Coturnix japonica: one gene and its partner. The protein of the gene in region 1 interacts with the protein of each later gene in a biochemical or structural test. Links are inferred from orthologs where the notes say so. Each region holds a gene or a part of one and is shown on either strand. Other genes may lie near its edges. The genes, in order: SH3GL2 and SYNJ1.

Region 1 (7,739 bases):
CAACTGGAGTACCACAAGCAGGCCACACAGATCCTTCAGCGAGTTACTTCTAAGCTGGAAGACAGGTAATGCTCTTTTTCTTAATTTATTGAACTGGCTTTTATGCATTGCAGAGGGAGAAAATCTATGAATCGAATGCAAAAATGTGGGGTTTTTTTGAATGTGTTAATTGTATGTATAAAAAAAAAAACTACCTGAGTAGGTAACTGCAAATCGAGATTTATGTATTTTGAAAATAGAAATACAACTGAGTATGACTGAGTGAGATCTGAGCTGAAGGCAGAAACTCAGTTCACTAAGGCTATTAATTAAATTTAATTGAATACTTGTGTTTAGATGCACTGGATGCCAGCTGTACATATAACTTTATTCTCCTTTCCATTCCGATGTTAATTCTGAAGTGGTCTTTTCAGAGATGTTAATGCTAGGAAAAGAGTAGATTCTGTTCCACCTGAAGGGGATCTCCCAGTACAGTGTAATTGCCATCTTGTTAATTAATCTTCAGGGTTTTTTTGTTTTGTTTTGTTTTGTTTTTTTTTCAGTCAAATCACTCTTGAGATGAGACTTAACTGAGTTTACCTCTTCCATCCACTTAACTAGGAAGGCCGAATTTATGTATCTTTTAAATTTTCTTTTCTTTTTTTTTTTTTGTTTTCTTTTGCTTTGTTTCTATCAGCACAAAGTAGATTGTATGTCCTTGAGATGAGGAAAGTAACATTTTTTAAAAGTTCACCAGTCTCCTACACATCCTTCAAGGAAACATGATGTAGGTTCCTCGTGTTTTTGAAGGGCTACTCCTAAAAGTTAGCCATGATTCCCTATGTTTGTATTCTATATGAAAGCCACACTTTGGTTGCAGATAGTTCTTTGCTGCTTTCTGTCACTTCTGTATATTTTGTTTCTGGTGCTACTGGATCTGCTGGTATTTATTTTCTCAGAGTATGTAGTCTGTAAACCTGATCCAGTTTTAACTCTTGAAGTTTCTTTGAGATTACAAGTGGATAGTCTACTTCTGGCTACAGTTTACAAGCCAATCTGCACTTTGAATGTAGGGGTCTTGACTCAGGTATTCTTACCTGCATGATATTAGAAAGTCATTCTGCATAAATTGCTAGAATTCTATCTATCCAAGAATCTGAAAAGGTTCTCTTTGCTAGAAATTATTGATTTCTTAATTTGAAGAGTTAATTGAAGTGAATGTTGCATAACATTTTTATCCTGAGAGTCAGGAAAACTGGTGATGTGTGTCTCTATGAAGCAAGTAGTCCCAATTACACATGAAAAAGTCTGCAGCAGAAGTCAATAGGTTCTCACACGGTCTCCTCATAAAATGACAAGTGTTGGCATTAAACTGCTGAATGATTAAGGGCTGACAGCAATAGCAGCAAAATAACTACTGTCAGTCAAGATACAAATCTATTAGAGGTATTCCCTAAGTATTGCTAGATCATATCACAAAGTTTTCTTTATTAGGAGCTCTTGTTATTGTTAAGAGGATCTTGGCCAAAATGCTAATTCAGGGAAAAGAAAAATGAGTAAATTAACGGCATAGTCACGTAAGGTGATAATTTAAATAAATGGGTTAAATAACAATTACTCAAAGTGCCAAAACTTGTTTAGAGTGGCTGATTAACAAAGATTAAGTTTTAGCCTTGGAAATGTTGTTTGGTGCATCTCATCTGTTCAAGGAAGTAAGCCTTGACATTTGACTAATTTCATGTTTTGACAGAATAAAAGAGGCATCATCTCAGCCTAAAAGAGAATACCAGCCCAAACCTCGTATGAGCCTGGATTTCACAACTGGTGGTGACAATACCCAGCACAATGGAGGAATATCCCATGCCACCACTCCAAAACCAGCAGGTAACAGCAGTAGCAGTGAGAGAAAATTTTTAAAAAGGCCAAATCTAGCAGAATTTTTCTACAGTGCAAACATTCTTCCTAGAGGGTAGTTCTTCCTTAGTAAGGAAAATGAGAATGAGGATAGTGCAGAAGAACTATTTGAACTGTTTGAATTAACTACATTGTTCTATTGAAGGACCTAGGCTGGTTGCAAAGCATAGTACAGAATTTTTCGTAAAACACTAATTTCTTCAGGCAGAAAAACATAGATGGATCATCCATTTTTGGGTCAAAAATGTCCTTAGTGCTAGAGCTATAAAGACTTGCTGCCATACTGAACTCCTCTTGAAATACAGATCATAGAACAGGCATTTAGAAAACTCAGAGATCGACTGCAGGTTTTCAATGAAATACAGAACTCTGCAACACTGAAAATCTCAGTAATCCCCAAACCCTACTTTTTAAAAAACAGGCATTATGGTACGTATGACTTGAAATTAAATATCACTAAAACCAGAAACAGCGGCAAATGAGGTATGATGTCTGTTCAATGGTGAGCAGCATAAACAAGGTGAAACATTTACATGACTGTACATCATTAGTATCTTCAAGATGTATTTTATTTCCTATCAGCATGTACTATGAAAGCTTTATCTTTTGTTCATCACAGTAACAGTCTGCTAATATGTATTATCATGACAGTTGTCCTCTTCCCAGACCCTGACCTCAACTATTCCAACTGACCTCAATGACAATGGCTTGCACACTCTATGTTGCAAGATTAAATGCTTTTCACTGGATCAGATTTTCTTCCTTCTCATAGTATCCCAGTGTGAATGTTTAAAATTCTCCCAGATATATGCGGCAACCTTATCTTTGTTTGGCAAGTGGAAATGGTCTTGTAAACTAGGAATTTTGTGATTATGCACACAAAGAATGGGGGTTAAATTGGGGATTCCTTGTGCACGAGTGTAGCTTCAGTCCTGTACAGTAAAAATCTCCATGTCACACCACCACAATTTCCTTCTTCACTCATATTTTTGTGGTGTTGTGAACACTTCTTTGTGATGAGATTGTACAAACTGATATTCCTGTCTCTCTCAGAGAGCAATATGTAACATTTTCGTCAGTAGGAGTTCTTTCTTTTGAGGGGCTCATTATTTTTACAGAAACATCTTCTTTTAAAATTCCTTAATGTAGATTTGTGTTAATTCATTCAAAGATTTCCTCTTTTCACTAAATCCTGCTCTACTGACATCTATAGAAAAGGAATATTCTTATCCTAAAATAGCTCAAGCATGGATCTTCTAGCTATGGGGAGCAGTTCAAATGAATATTTAAAAAGTCTGAATGTGAAATCAGTTCATCCTGGAACTGGTACATGTAAAAAAGCTGAAACAAACATATTCCCAGAATTGGCACGATTTAGATGCATGTGTCATTTCATTCTGACCAGTAGAAGTGCACAGACATTAACAACGGAAAATCAGATAGGGATATAAGTTTAATAAATGCTGATAAATCTTAAATATTTTGACTATGAACTGCTTTTGGTAGGCTTAACTCTATAGAATCTTTGGGGATTGAGGGAAGGATATGAGCACAAGGAGGAAATAATATTTCTAGATTTCATATGACCAATTAAAATCTAATCTAATAATTATAATAATACCCATTAACCATGCTAAATGATTTATGGTTAGATATTCATGAAATATCATATTAGAAAGATTTCCATTTCAGACTGTGCCAAAACAATTCTGATGCTGATCTAATCATCAGTTGTTTCATGGGAATAAGAAGGTTTTCTTTGGAAAGCTTGTACAAAAATTCATGAGGTCAGGAGCATATAGGACAGTTTACACAATAGTTGTACCAATGAAGATTTCAAATAAAGACACAGTTTTATTTTCATTGCTGTTTTAAGATATCATTTTGCTATTTCCTTGAGACACAGGCAAAGCATTTCTGTGCCAGTAAAACTGGAACTATGTTTGGGCTTTTGCTTCATTTTTTGTGTTTTGTAAACAGATAAAAATTAGATCCCAGACTGGTAGTAGTTATTCTTTTAAGTGTAGGCTTGAATGTAATTTAGATCTTTTAGTATTCTCAATTTCCAAAAGTTGCTAACTATCTTCTAATACAGTTTAGCTGCCTAGATTTAGATGCTGTCAGAGGACTGCCATCGCCATATGAAATACACGGGAAACAGCAAAATTTAAATGAAGTAAAAAGTTTAAAATGATAGCATAACTGCTGAGATTTTAAAATGTTATTTCTTTCTCTTTCTTATCCATAGGTGCTCACATGGATCAGCCATGCTGCCGAGCTCTGTATGACTTTGAACCAGAAAATGAAGGAGAGCTGGGATTTAAAGAGGGTGATATCATTACCCTCACTAACCAGATTGATGAAAACTGGTATGAAGGGATGCTTCATGGCCAGTCAGGATTCTTCCCCATCAATTATGTCGATATTCTAGTTCCTTTACCCAATTAAGATAGCTGATCCACCACCTCTGTTCCAGATAGTAATGTCAGTACCACTGCTTTCAAAATGCTGCTTCTTACACCTTACAAGTGCAAACTGCAGTGGTTAGAATCGTCAAGTCCCACTGAGCATCTTTGGTTTATGTGTTGTCATACTGCGTAGTGGTGATGCGTGGTATCTTCTGAGCCAACATAGTGTGGGTTAGACCACTTGGCCACACTGACCTCGTGGTAACCAGAGTACTGCTGAGATGATGTTGGGAAGATGATGGCAAGCCAAACAGGTGACTCATGGTGAAGTAGCAGGAAGTGAAGGTGGTACTGGGAAGATAATGCCTATCACCACTGTATTACTTTTCAGTCTTAGTTCTTTGTAAAAAGAGGGAAAAGTTCTTGCCATTCCATCTTTCCCTTCCTGATGATACAGTTCACATGAGTCTAACCATGACTAACAAGAATTGTATCTTCTGACCAAAATGGCTTGCTATTCTCACAGAGACGGTATAAATATAGACGCTCTGGTTTCTCAGAAAGCGAACCACTGTACTGCGTGCCCTTCTGGTCTCTGCTCATTTTTGTATTTTTGATTGTTATTAAAAGACCTATTTCCATCTGTAGGTAAACTTCGAACCATAAAAAGGGGATTCCTATAGTAAAGAGCTTGAACCACAAACTACATGAATTTGCCCTTCATAAACTTTGAGCATGCTCAATAAAATGCCGGTAGAAGGGCAAGATGGGGGATAAAACTGTTATTAGTGTTAACTGTTTGTTGTCAAGTTTTGGCACAAAATCATGCTGCTTAAGCACCAGATAGTCTTTTTAAACTCATTCACTGTGGAGGAAAACCAACCAAAATACTATCTTCCCTGCTTTTATTTCTGTCTACCATGTGTTCTTCGAACATCATTTGTGTGTATTCTGCCCTCAATGAGGACTAAATAAAACTTATTTCTTTTTGTGTTGAGCAATTAAAGACATGTGGCTGTATATGCAAAAACATTTCCCCATATGTTTAGTTCACTCTTTTTTTTTCCTCCTTACTGCACTTGGTGTGTACAGTGCTGTGCCTAGCTTCTCAGCCTTCTTTCAGATGCAAAAGTTCTGTTAGTTTAGTAATCCAGAGTTCTATTTATGTAAACTATAGAGACTCTCTTTCAGAAGTTTAATGTGCTGCTTTGAACGTGCCACTTCAGTACTGGATGATGTGAAATGATGACAATTCCCTACTGCTTAATATATAAACTGTATCATGGAATATTGATATTTCAAATAAATGCTGAGAGAATAACTGGAATAATTTTGTGAATTATTATTTTATTCTTTAAAAATCTCTTGTGCTTAACTTTGACTAACAAGAATTTTGTTTTGGAAAATGTGTTTCTCAAGCCTGACTTGAAAATGTGAAAAAAAAAAAGATTTTTATATTGTTGCATGGCTTCTCTGAATTGAAACCCATATATGTAAAATGATCTTCATAAATAGGGTAGGCTGAACATCAAGCACATAAAGTTAATGTCATTATGACCAGCATGCAGTCTTGTGGAGACAGGATAGTTCCTGTTCAAGTATGCTGTGTTTCGAAAAAAAAAACACCAAGTAATGCTTAGACATACTTGTAATAGTATTTTGAGGGTTTTATATTAGAGTTACATAGGGTTTATATTCTTTGTTGTACAGATATGATCATGGGTTAGCCTTGACAAAGAACCAGGCACCTACCCAACGGCTTGCTCTTGGTCTCTTCTCAGTGGGTAGGGAGGAAAAATGGGAAGAGAAAGCTTGTGAGCCAAGATAAATACAGGGAGGTAATTTGCTTGTTACCATCACTGACAAAGTGACTATATGGGGTTTATGTGCCAAGGTTTTGGTAGCAGGGGAGCTGCAGTGGTGACTTCTGTGAGAAGAGTCCAGAAACTGCCCTATATTAGATAAAAGCCAGTTCCAGCTGTCTAGAAAACTCACTGCTAGACAGTGAGAGACACATCTGTGCTTCTGGGAGAGCATATATAAGAAATGGAGAAAAATGCTCTGCAGCAGCAGCAACTTTGTGGAGGATGGGGAAACATGTTATGGAGCAGTGCTGAAGCAGTATTTGGATTGTTGCAGCCTGTGGGAAGCCCATGTGAGATCAGTTTGGGAAGCACAGCATCCTATGGTGGAAGTCCACATGCCACAGCGCCAGAGTGACCATGGAGGAGCAGCAGAGATGTAGTGTTCTGTTCTGACTGCAGCTCCCATTGCCAGTTCCACCTGTACTTCACTGGGGAAGGAGGTAGAATAGGATGAATGGGGGGACATTTTTTTTTATATTTCTTTTAGTTCTCACTTCTCTATGTTATCAGTAATAGGTAATAAATTACATTAGTCTCCCTATACTTAGTCTGTTTTACCCATAACAGTAATTGTTGAGTGATCTCCCTGTCCTTATCTTGACCCTTGAGCCCTTTTCCATTTTATTTTTTCTCTTTCTTTTTGCTCATTGAGAATGAGAGAGCAGTGTGGTGGAGTTTAGCTGGTAATATTCCTTTTAGACATGACAGCATGACAGCATTACTTGACATTTCCCTTTGTTGAAACCTGTTAATTTTCTATTGGCCAGTTTCTCCAGCCTGTATAGGCCCTTCTAGCTGGATGCAGAGTCCTTTGGTATATTAGCCACTCTTCACCACATTTTATCACCAGTGAAGTTGTAGAGGTTGCGCTCTGCCTAATTGCCCAGACCACTAGGGAAGATGTTGAACATGCTTGGACCTAATTTTGACTGCTGAAGTATATCACTTCTGGCTGGCCTTCTACTGGTCTTTGTGCCATTGATTCACAATGGGGTAGATTCAGTCATTCAGCTAGTTTTCACATCCACATATATTAACAGCTTACCCATGAGGATGCTAAATTGCAGACACTGTATGACTGAGAATGGTTAGAAAATAATAAATTACATGTATATCTGTAGCACTTGTCTATATATGTATAGCTGAATGTACTCTGCAGAAGTGCTTTATAGCGGGTTTCTTAAATATTACATCTGACATCTATTTCTTAAATTTTACATCTGACATCTATTTTCATGATAGTTTTTTGGAAAAAAAAAATCATAGAAACAAAGAAAAAAACAGATTTGGAGAGTTATCTAGGAGGCTAGTCCAACCTTCTGCTTTGAAGATGTTTGATTAGTTCATACAGGGCCATGCACAATGAAGTCCTGAACATATCAAAGTTGTAGCTGTGGATTCTCCAAACTTTTTTTTTCCTGCTACAGATAGACAGAACATTTTTATTATCTACTGAAATTAATGAATTCACAGAACTCTAACTGCTATATGCTATGCATCAAAATATTCGTATGTTCACAGGCCTTTATTGCTTGCTTCCAAAGTTTAGTGAGATGAAGACTAGTAATGGCTC
Region 2 (7,825 bases), on another chromosome or scaffold:
GCACTGGATCATGCCGTGACAGTCGCAAATGATCACAACGTAAAAGAGTTAAAAATTTTAATAGAAGGAAAATAGAGTTTTCTGACATCTCGTTACGAGCTTTAAAACCATTCCTGATGTGTAATTTATGTACATATGTAAAGTTTCTTAAACTGTAAAGTATTGATCTTTGTTTTAATACAAAGTGCATTCTTATATACAGGCATCCTTTAAAAGAAATGACAAGGTTGACTTTCTTTGGAGACAAAAATGAAATTCCAAGGTAGTCATTTTCCCACAAATCAGGCTTTCCTCAAAGTTTCTCAAAATCTTGTTTACAAAAACACTTTGTACCCACAATTAGTGGTCATCTACTCCTTTGTTCATTGTTCCATGGCTAACTGGAATGTGTATAATATATTAAGTGTAATGCAATGCGTGCATATACTTATACCACCGTGTTACTTTCACACTGGATATGGAAATCTTTTACTGTTGAAAAAGCTTTTCCCTTTTCTAAAAATTACTTGTTTTGAAAATAAAATGATCATATTATTGGTCAGAAGGTTAAATCTGTGAAAATCGTTTGGCCTAAATAGTGGGAACGCTTCCAAATGCAACCAAACCTTTAAAAAGCAGCTGTGCTGCACTCAGACTGGAACTCTAAAGACTGTGCTTAGAAACAAGAGCCAAGAAAACACAAATCAGTGTTTCAACTGTTTTCTTAATGCAGGCAGACATTGCAAATTTGTGATTATTGTGGAAATTTACAGTATTTCCTAATCCCTGAACACCTTTCATTTTGAAGGAGAAGATAGTTCACCTGTGAACTCTGGGCCCCTCGGTGGTTAAGTTCACTGTTTATATCCCATTTTATAACTTCACCTTGGGAATCTGTTTCTTCTGATTGGCATGGCTAAAGATACAAAGCTAAGTGAAGGTGGAGAAAACTTTATATCCTAGAATTTGAAGTGTTTATACTGTACTAAATATTCAAATGTTACATTTCCTGCTAAATACCAGCTAAGAATACAGTCTTGGAAAGCAAAGCATTTAAGTTTTTGGAAATCAGAAGGAAAATCCTTTAAAACAGGGTGATCCACGTTGGAACACTAGTAATTTGGTTTTGGGGTCTGAGGCATGTAAACAGCTGTAGCAGCTTTGGATTAAGAGCTGTTTTCTTGGTGAACCCGACATTCCGGGGGGAATTATAGCAATAAATTGACATCCTGGAGAACATAAAGATTAATTGTATTTTAAGGTCATGTCGTGGTATAAATGAATATATTAAAAATGTACCATTTGTAAGATGCACACTTCATTTGGACACCGAACAATTGTTTTTCTGAACTGTTGAGATCGATGGAGTACATTCAGAATATCTGCTTTTAAAAATCGTTTCAATAAACTCGTCTGTCAAGGAGCTGCTGCAGTGCAACTTGATAAGCTTTGTTCCTTTAAGTGGTAAAGGAAAAAAATATGCATGCTATCTATTTTTGTCATCTCAAACTTTTGCTTTTTTTCTAATATAGCACATACAAGCCTGCAGTTAAGTTTTGAAGGTGTATAAGTGCAGTTTCAGTAGCTCAGGGCTCCAAACCTTGAGACAATTTTAAATGCTGTTAGTAAAAATGGAGGCATTTTGCTCCAGTTTGGATAATAATTGGGAGAATAAGGAAGAGGTCAAGAAAATTACTTCCTTCTAATCTCGTTATAAAATATAGCCACAGAAAACCTTTATAAGCAAAATAACCACTTGCCTTTCTGCCCTTCTTCAGCCATTGTTCTCAATCATTGATTCAAATTAAATGTAACAAAGCAGTTGCACTTCATGAAGTGGTCTTCAAAAACGTTATATATCTGCTGCTTGGTTGAGTGACTGCTTTAAAATCCAGTAGTTCAGCACACCTGCTTTAAAATTACTTCTCCCATGGTTGGCTTTGTGTTGTCTTAGCATTCACCATCAAAATCAATGCACATAATATATTCAAAGACTGATGTCCTGGAAGGTGATAAAATCCCATATGACATGGTAGTCTTAGTTATACTCAAAATTCTATGGGAACTCTTGAGATGTAGTAACCTCTTTAGGTAGTTAGCATCGTTTAGAAACAGGGAAGATGTATAACATTGCATGTAAAATTGGGGGACATTCTGAATTGTGATAAAAGGGAGGTTTGTTTACAAGGGGGTTCCTGCCTCATCGCAGACAGAGTCCTCACTAACGCCTACAACAATAAACACACTTAATAATCCAAGAGCCGACCACTTAAGTCTCTGCTCCAAACCATGAGGTAAGTTTGTTTTTCTTCATATATGTGACCTGTCCCATTGACTCCACTTTTGTGCTTCATGCACATATTTAAATGTCTAAGGTAGTCAGGCATTGGAATGCACTGCCCAGGGAGGTGGTGGAGTCACCGACCATGGGAGTGTTCAATAAACATGTGGATGTTGTGTTGATGAATATGGTTTAGCCGGGAAGTATTGGTAATGGTTGAACTATATGATCTTCTAGGTCTTTTCCAACCTTGATAATTCTGTAATTCTGTGATTCTGTTTTCATAACAGAAATGTATCATATAACAGATGTATCTCCAAGACTCAGTGTGATATTTTTCATACATATGTAAACCCATCTTTTCATAGCCTAAATTTCAACAAAGCTCTCGAGCACTGTCTTATTTTCTGCCTTAAGATTTTAGTGACACCTTGCCAAGTACCTCTGGCATTTCCTCTTGTTCAGCTCCACGCAGTCAGTGACTGCCCAGCCCTCCCATTTGTCAAGGTCTCTCTGTAAGACCTCCCTACCTTCAAGAGAGTCAGCTTAATGGGCAGGGGTACTACTTCACAGAATCACAGAATTGTAGGGGTTGGAAGGGACCTCTAGAGATCATCGAGTCCAACCCCCCTGCCAAAGCAGGCTCCCTACACCACGTCACACAGGTAGGCGTCCAGGCGGGTCTTGAATATCTCCAGAGAAGGAGACTCCACCACCTCCCTGGGCAGCCTGTTCCAGTGCTCCGTCACCCTCACTGTAAAGAAGTTCTTCCGCACATTCGTGCGGAACTTCCTATGCTGTACTTTCATCCCATTACCCCTAGTCCTGTCCCCACGCACTACTGAAAAGAGACCAGCCTCGCCACTATGGCTCCCACACCTCAGGTATTTATAAACCTGGATCAAGTCCCCTCTCAGCCTTCTTTTCTCAAGGCTAAACAGACCCAGTTCCCTAAGTCTCTCCTCATAGGGGAGATGCTCCAGGCCCTTCACCATCTTAGTGGCCCTCCGCTGGACTCTTTCCAAGAGATCCCTGTCTTTTTTGTACTGGGGAGCCCAGAACTGGACACAATATTCCAGATGAGGCAGAGCAGAGGGGGAGGAGAGGGGGAGGATCACCTCCTTCAACCTGCTGGATACTTGTCCCTAAGGGCTCGGCTCCAGCCCCGTCCTGACACACATCCCCCTCCTCACCGCCCCAAGGTAGCACGGCCATAACATCCACCATGGCTCCGCCGCCTCCCCGTGCCTTCCGGTGGCGGGCGGCGCAATGCGGAAGGGACGGAGGGGCCGGAGCGGAAGTGAGGTGCCGCCGGCTCCCGCGGCAGGGAGCGCAGCGGGCGGCAGCTGTGGCGGCCGGTGAGGAGCTGCGGGGCCGGTATTGGGGCGGGTCGGCGGCACCGCGGGCGGCTGTCGGTACGGGAGGAGCCCGCTCGGCTGTCGCCGTGGCGGGTGTCGGGCTGCGGGGGCGCCGCGGGCGCCAGACAAGATGGAGGCTCTGTCAGCGCCGCGGGCGCCGGGCAGGTGGAGGGGCGGGGGCTGCTCGACCGGTGCCGGCTCCTTGGCCGGCCGCTCCTGCCTGTGTCGTATGAGGGGGCGGAAGGTCGGTGCCGCTGTCAGCCCTCAGGTTACCGGCGTGGGGCTGCGGGAATGGAGCATGTTCGCTGCTTTCTAGCCGCTCCTCTATGCTCTGTGCATTCCTTCAGCCCCTGATATATCGGTGGGCTGCTGGTGTTTTGTGGTTTGGTATTGCTTTTTTTCATTGCTCCGAAGGAAGGTGTTACCTTTATGGCTTGTCAGCGGTCTCTCTCGTGCGGTGCTGCGATTTTCTAATCGTCAGCCGCTGCGAGGGAGGGCTTAAGTCCAGACGGAGCTCCGCGTTCGTTTATAAAGAGAAACCAAGCAGTAGGTTATCGTCTCTGTATGTTATTCCAAAGCCTCTTAGCAGCTTTACTGTTTGAAATGTAGTGTCCTTTTATACAAGGTCAGCATGAGCAAAAGGCATCGTAAAACTGAAGCTCCTGGCCCTCTGTGTTCAGCAGAAGGTTGCTGCTGCTCTAATGTGTTTGTGGCGACTAAAGGAGAACCTCATCTCCAGTTTCTCTGAGTCTGGTTTAGGTATTGCAAAAGAAATTCTGGTTGTTCTGGAGGAGATCTTAAATAAATCCTTTGTGCTGCTCTGGGCAATTATGTTTTTGCAATGCTGGCATGTTGTCTTTAAGCTATCTTTAGATATATTTGTTTTGAAACATAAAGTAAATCTCATGAACTAGAAAGAGTGAGCATCTCTTTTCTTCTTTTTCTCTTTTTTGTTGTTAGATCTGTAAAATTCTTAGGAAAGAATGGAAGTCAGACCTGTTCTGCAGAAGGTATCTGGAAGCACAGGAAGCTCTCACTAACATCATCTTGTGTTGGACAGGACTGCCAGCGATAAAGGCAAAATGGCTTTCAGTAAAGGATATCGTGTCTATCACAAGCTGGATCCGCTCCCGTTCAGCGTGATAGTGGAAGCCAGAAACAGAGAAGAATGTCTCATGTTTGAATCTGGAGCCGTGGCTGTCCTCTGTAAGTCACTATGTTTTGATAAATACAATGAAAAAACTGGCAACCTTGACGTTGTGGAAGCTGTTTTTATTTATGACAGATAAGGAAGAAGCAGCAATTCTGGTTTTTATTTGCTAATGGAGATCCTTTTGATTTAAATGGAAGAAATGTTTCGTATCTTTATCTGTTGGAAAGAGAATTTTACACATTTAATTAGATTTTCATCATGAATATGTATTGCCATGTATACAAAATATTCTTCCAATATCTGCCAGCGTCTGCTTATCTTTGGTTCTGAGCAATCGTCTGCCTTTGAGTACACAATGACTCATTAAAAAGCAAAATCTGTGGTGCACTTATTACAAAGTGCTGTATTCTTAAATGGTGCATCATCTTAGTTTGTTTATCTCACTTTGTATTATGACTTAGATGGGTTTTTTTTTTGTTTTTAAATCTATGTTGCACCTGTGTTTTTAACCTATCACCATACATTGTGTGTTAGATCATCTCATAATAAAGTCAGTCAATGTTTTGAGCAAGATGTCTTGTATTGCATAGTCATTTTTATGTGCTTTCAGTGCTAAATGCATCAAATGCTTGTGTTTTTTCAAGTCAGAGTCGAAGGAGGGCTCTAAAACAGGAAGTGCAGAAAAGATCCTTTAAACCTACAGACAGGGTCTAAAAATATACTTTGGTTTGTATTCTTCAGTACAAAGGCCTGAGCACCAGGTTGCCAAGAGTTCCTAGGCTTCTTCTGGGCAACCTGATCTAGTAAATGTGTATGTTTGGTGGCCCTGCCAGGCAGGGGGGTTGGAACTACATGACCCTTGAGGTCCCTTCCAACCCGGGTCATTCTGTGATTCTGTGATTCTTGAATCTTGTGGAAAGCTTGAGTACTGTGGATGTACTTCTTTTGAATGGATCAATTTTTGTTGAAAATTGGTGCCCAGTGTGAGGTTGTAATGCATTGCCTGCAGCCTTACAGGGCTCACAGGTGGGTTGTTGTCTCCCCGTAGGGTGCTCTGGCCCAGATAGGGTAGAGTGGGCTGAGCCGGCAACATGTTCCCTCCTACAGCAAGGCTGAAGGTTAGAAGTGGGAGTTCTGAAGTGGGATTGGAGATGCATTCCCTACCCTACCTTTGGTATCTGTAATTGTTTGTATGCCTGATGCACTCCTTAGCTGTGGCATTGCCTCTTTGTGAGGCACCTGGCTGACCCTGTATCCTGCAAGTTAAGTGCTTAGAAATCAGGCCATAGTTTGTGCTGAACCGGCTGTGTGAGCTAGTGCTCTCTTGCCTGTGTCTCAATCTGTACCTTAGTTAATGTGATATTTGGAGCTGCTATGATCCGATACAGGTCTAGCCATGGGACTTGCTAGCACAGTTGACATTACAAATGAAATTAACTCACAGTTATCAATGTCAAAAACTGTGAGTGCTTTCTTCCCATTTTTTGATATTTGTTTTTATCTGTTACAGTTTCTTCTTAATATTTGTGTAACTTATCTTGTTGACTTTGCCAGCAGTATTTGAAAGGCATTGTGTAGTGTGGTTTGTGATGGAAGTAAGTGTCTTATCATGAAGATAAAGAACATACTTAGTAAGAACAGTACAGCATGGGAATAATGTGAAGAATTATGGAAACATTTTATTTTAGTATATGTTCAGTAATCAGTGCACTTGTTTAAGGTACCTAAGCAGGAATGTATTCAAAGTAATTTATTCTTGGAAGTTATGCTCAGAAAGTCAAAGGAGTTAATGTTTTCTTGTGCTGTGATACAGTGCAGGTAGCTGAGTAGACTGTCTTCTCTAGAAATTCACTGTTTATATCTGTGTTGAAATTCTGCCCTCTCCTATGCCTTGCATTGTAATCAAACAGGAATTGAAACCCAGAAGAATTTCAGCAGCCTGGCTCTTCTTGGGTCCTGTACTTTGTAATAGCTTCTTCCTACTTTGTAAGAGCTGTCCTTGGTATTCTGATTGGTAGGTTGCAATACAGTAAATATTTATGCCTAGTTACAAGTAGTTACTCTAAATACTGCTTTCAGTAACTTAAGATTCTGAACTGCTTACTCTGATGGATGAGCTTATTTTCCCAATGTGTTATGCTGTGGCAGTTCATTCTAGTTTTTTTTGTTTGTTTGAGCCTAAATTCTTTACTGAATGATTCTTTTAATGGTTGTAAGACCACAGTCAACCTTGATTTGATAGCAGAAAGGTGCTGAACTTCCCTTGTTTAGATTATTTTCCTTCTATTCTGCTAGAGTTTGATGGTTTCTTTATGTAAGTGTATAAGATTTTATTAAATACTGAAGATTTGTTGTTTAGCCTTATGCCCTATGACAGCTCCTGCCTGGCTGTAGAATACATAGCATATGTACAACCCAGTGAAATACACTTAGAATTGAAAGTGATTGATGTGACTCAGTTCTGAGAACCTCAGTGAACCTCATCTTTTGGAGTATGCATGTGCAGTAATCAGGACTTGAACTGGGCTGAGATAAAGGAACTCAAGTTTACCGGTCCCTTAAATGTCATCTTAGCTGAAGTCCATCTGTCATTTTGCCGAGGGAAGGATAATGGTATTAACTTTCATCCCCTCTCCATTCAACAAAGCATTGCAAGATTAATTCAAAGAGTTTTGTTTGGCCTCTGTATGTAGTGCTCTACAATTCATATGCTGCTTGGTTTTACAGCGTGTGTTATTCATGAAGAAAGGAAGAGGGCAGAAGGGGGTAGTTCACAGGGGTTATTGTTGCATAATCATTCAGTCTTAAAATGGAAACAGTCCAAGCCTTGCCTCTGCTGGAAGTGGTCTGTGCACTGCTTGTAATGTGCATTAGTTAGCATGACCAAAAGCTCTGAGAAATACTTCTCTTGCCTTACATAAAAATACCCAGCACCTCTTTGATCAGCTCATGCCTAGTACCAGGTTAGCCCAGGATATTGAAGTCTGAAAGGATCCTGCCAGCCTGCTTCTCAAGGCCTTATAAGAGCATTTGGTTTTAAATGTCAGCAGCTCG

What was found.
Region 2: the proteins of SH3GL2 (region 1) and SYNJ1 form a complex in vitro, tested with the Homo sapiens proteins (2 studies listed by BioGRID and IntAct, with this or other methods). The link is inferred for Coturnix japonica from reciprocal best matches to the Homo sapiens genes SH3GL2 and SYNJ1.

The regions. Positions count from the first base shown.
Region 1 is NC_029547.1:29,793,256-29,800,994, forward strand, and holds the end of SH3GL2 (endophilin-A1), read left to right. Parts: coding exon 1-65; intron 66-1,729; coding exon 1,730-1,863; intron 1,864-4,141; coding exon 4,142-4,341; 3' UTR 4,342-5,631; downstream 5,632-7,739. UniProt on the Homo sapiens protein: Implicated in synaptic vesicle endocytosis. May recruit other proteins to membranes with high curvature. Required for BDNF-dependent dendrite outgrowth.
Region 2 is NC_029516.1:94,511,218-94,519,042, reverse strand, and holds the start of SYNJ1 (synaptojanin-1), read left to right. Parts: upstream 1-3,524; 5' UTR 3,525-3,529; coding exon 3,530-3,618; intron 3,619-4,678; coding exon 4,679-4,824; intron 4,825-7,825. Other genes in the region: PAXBP1 (PAX3- and PAX7-binding protein 1), read left to right, coding at 1-75. UniProt on the Homo sapiens protein: Phosphatase that acts on various phosphoinositides, including phosphatidylinositol 4-phosphate, phosphatidylinositol (4,5)-bisphosphate and phosphatidylinositol (3,4,5)-trisphosphate. Has a role in clathrin-mediated endocytosis.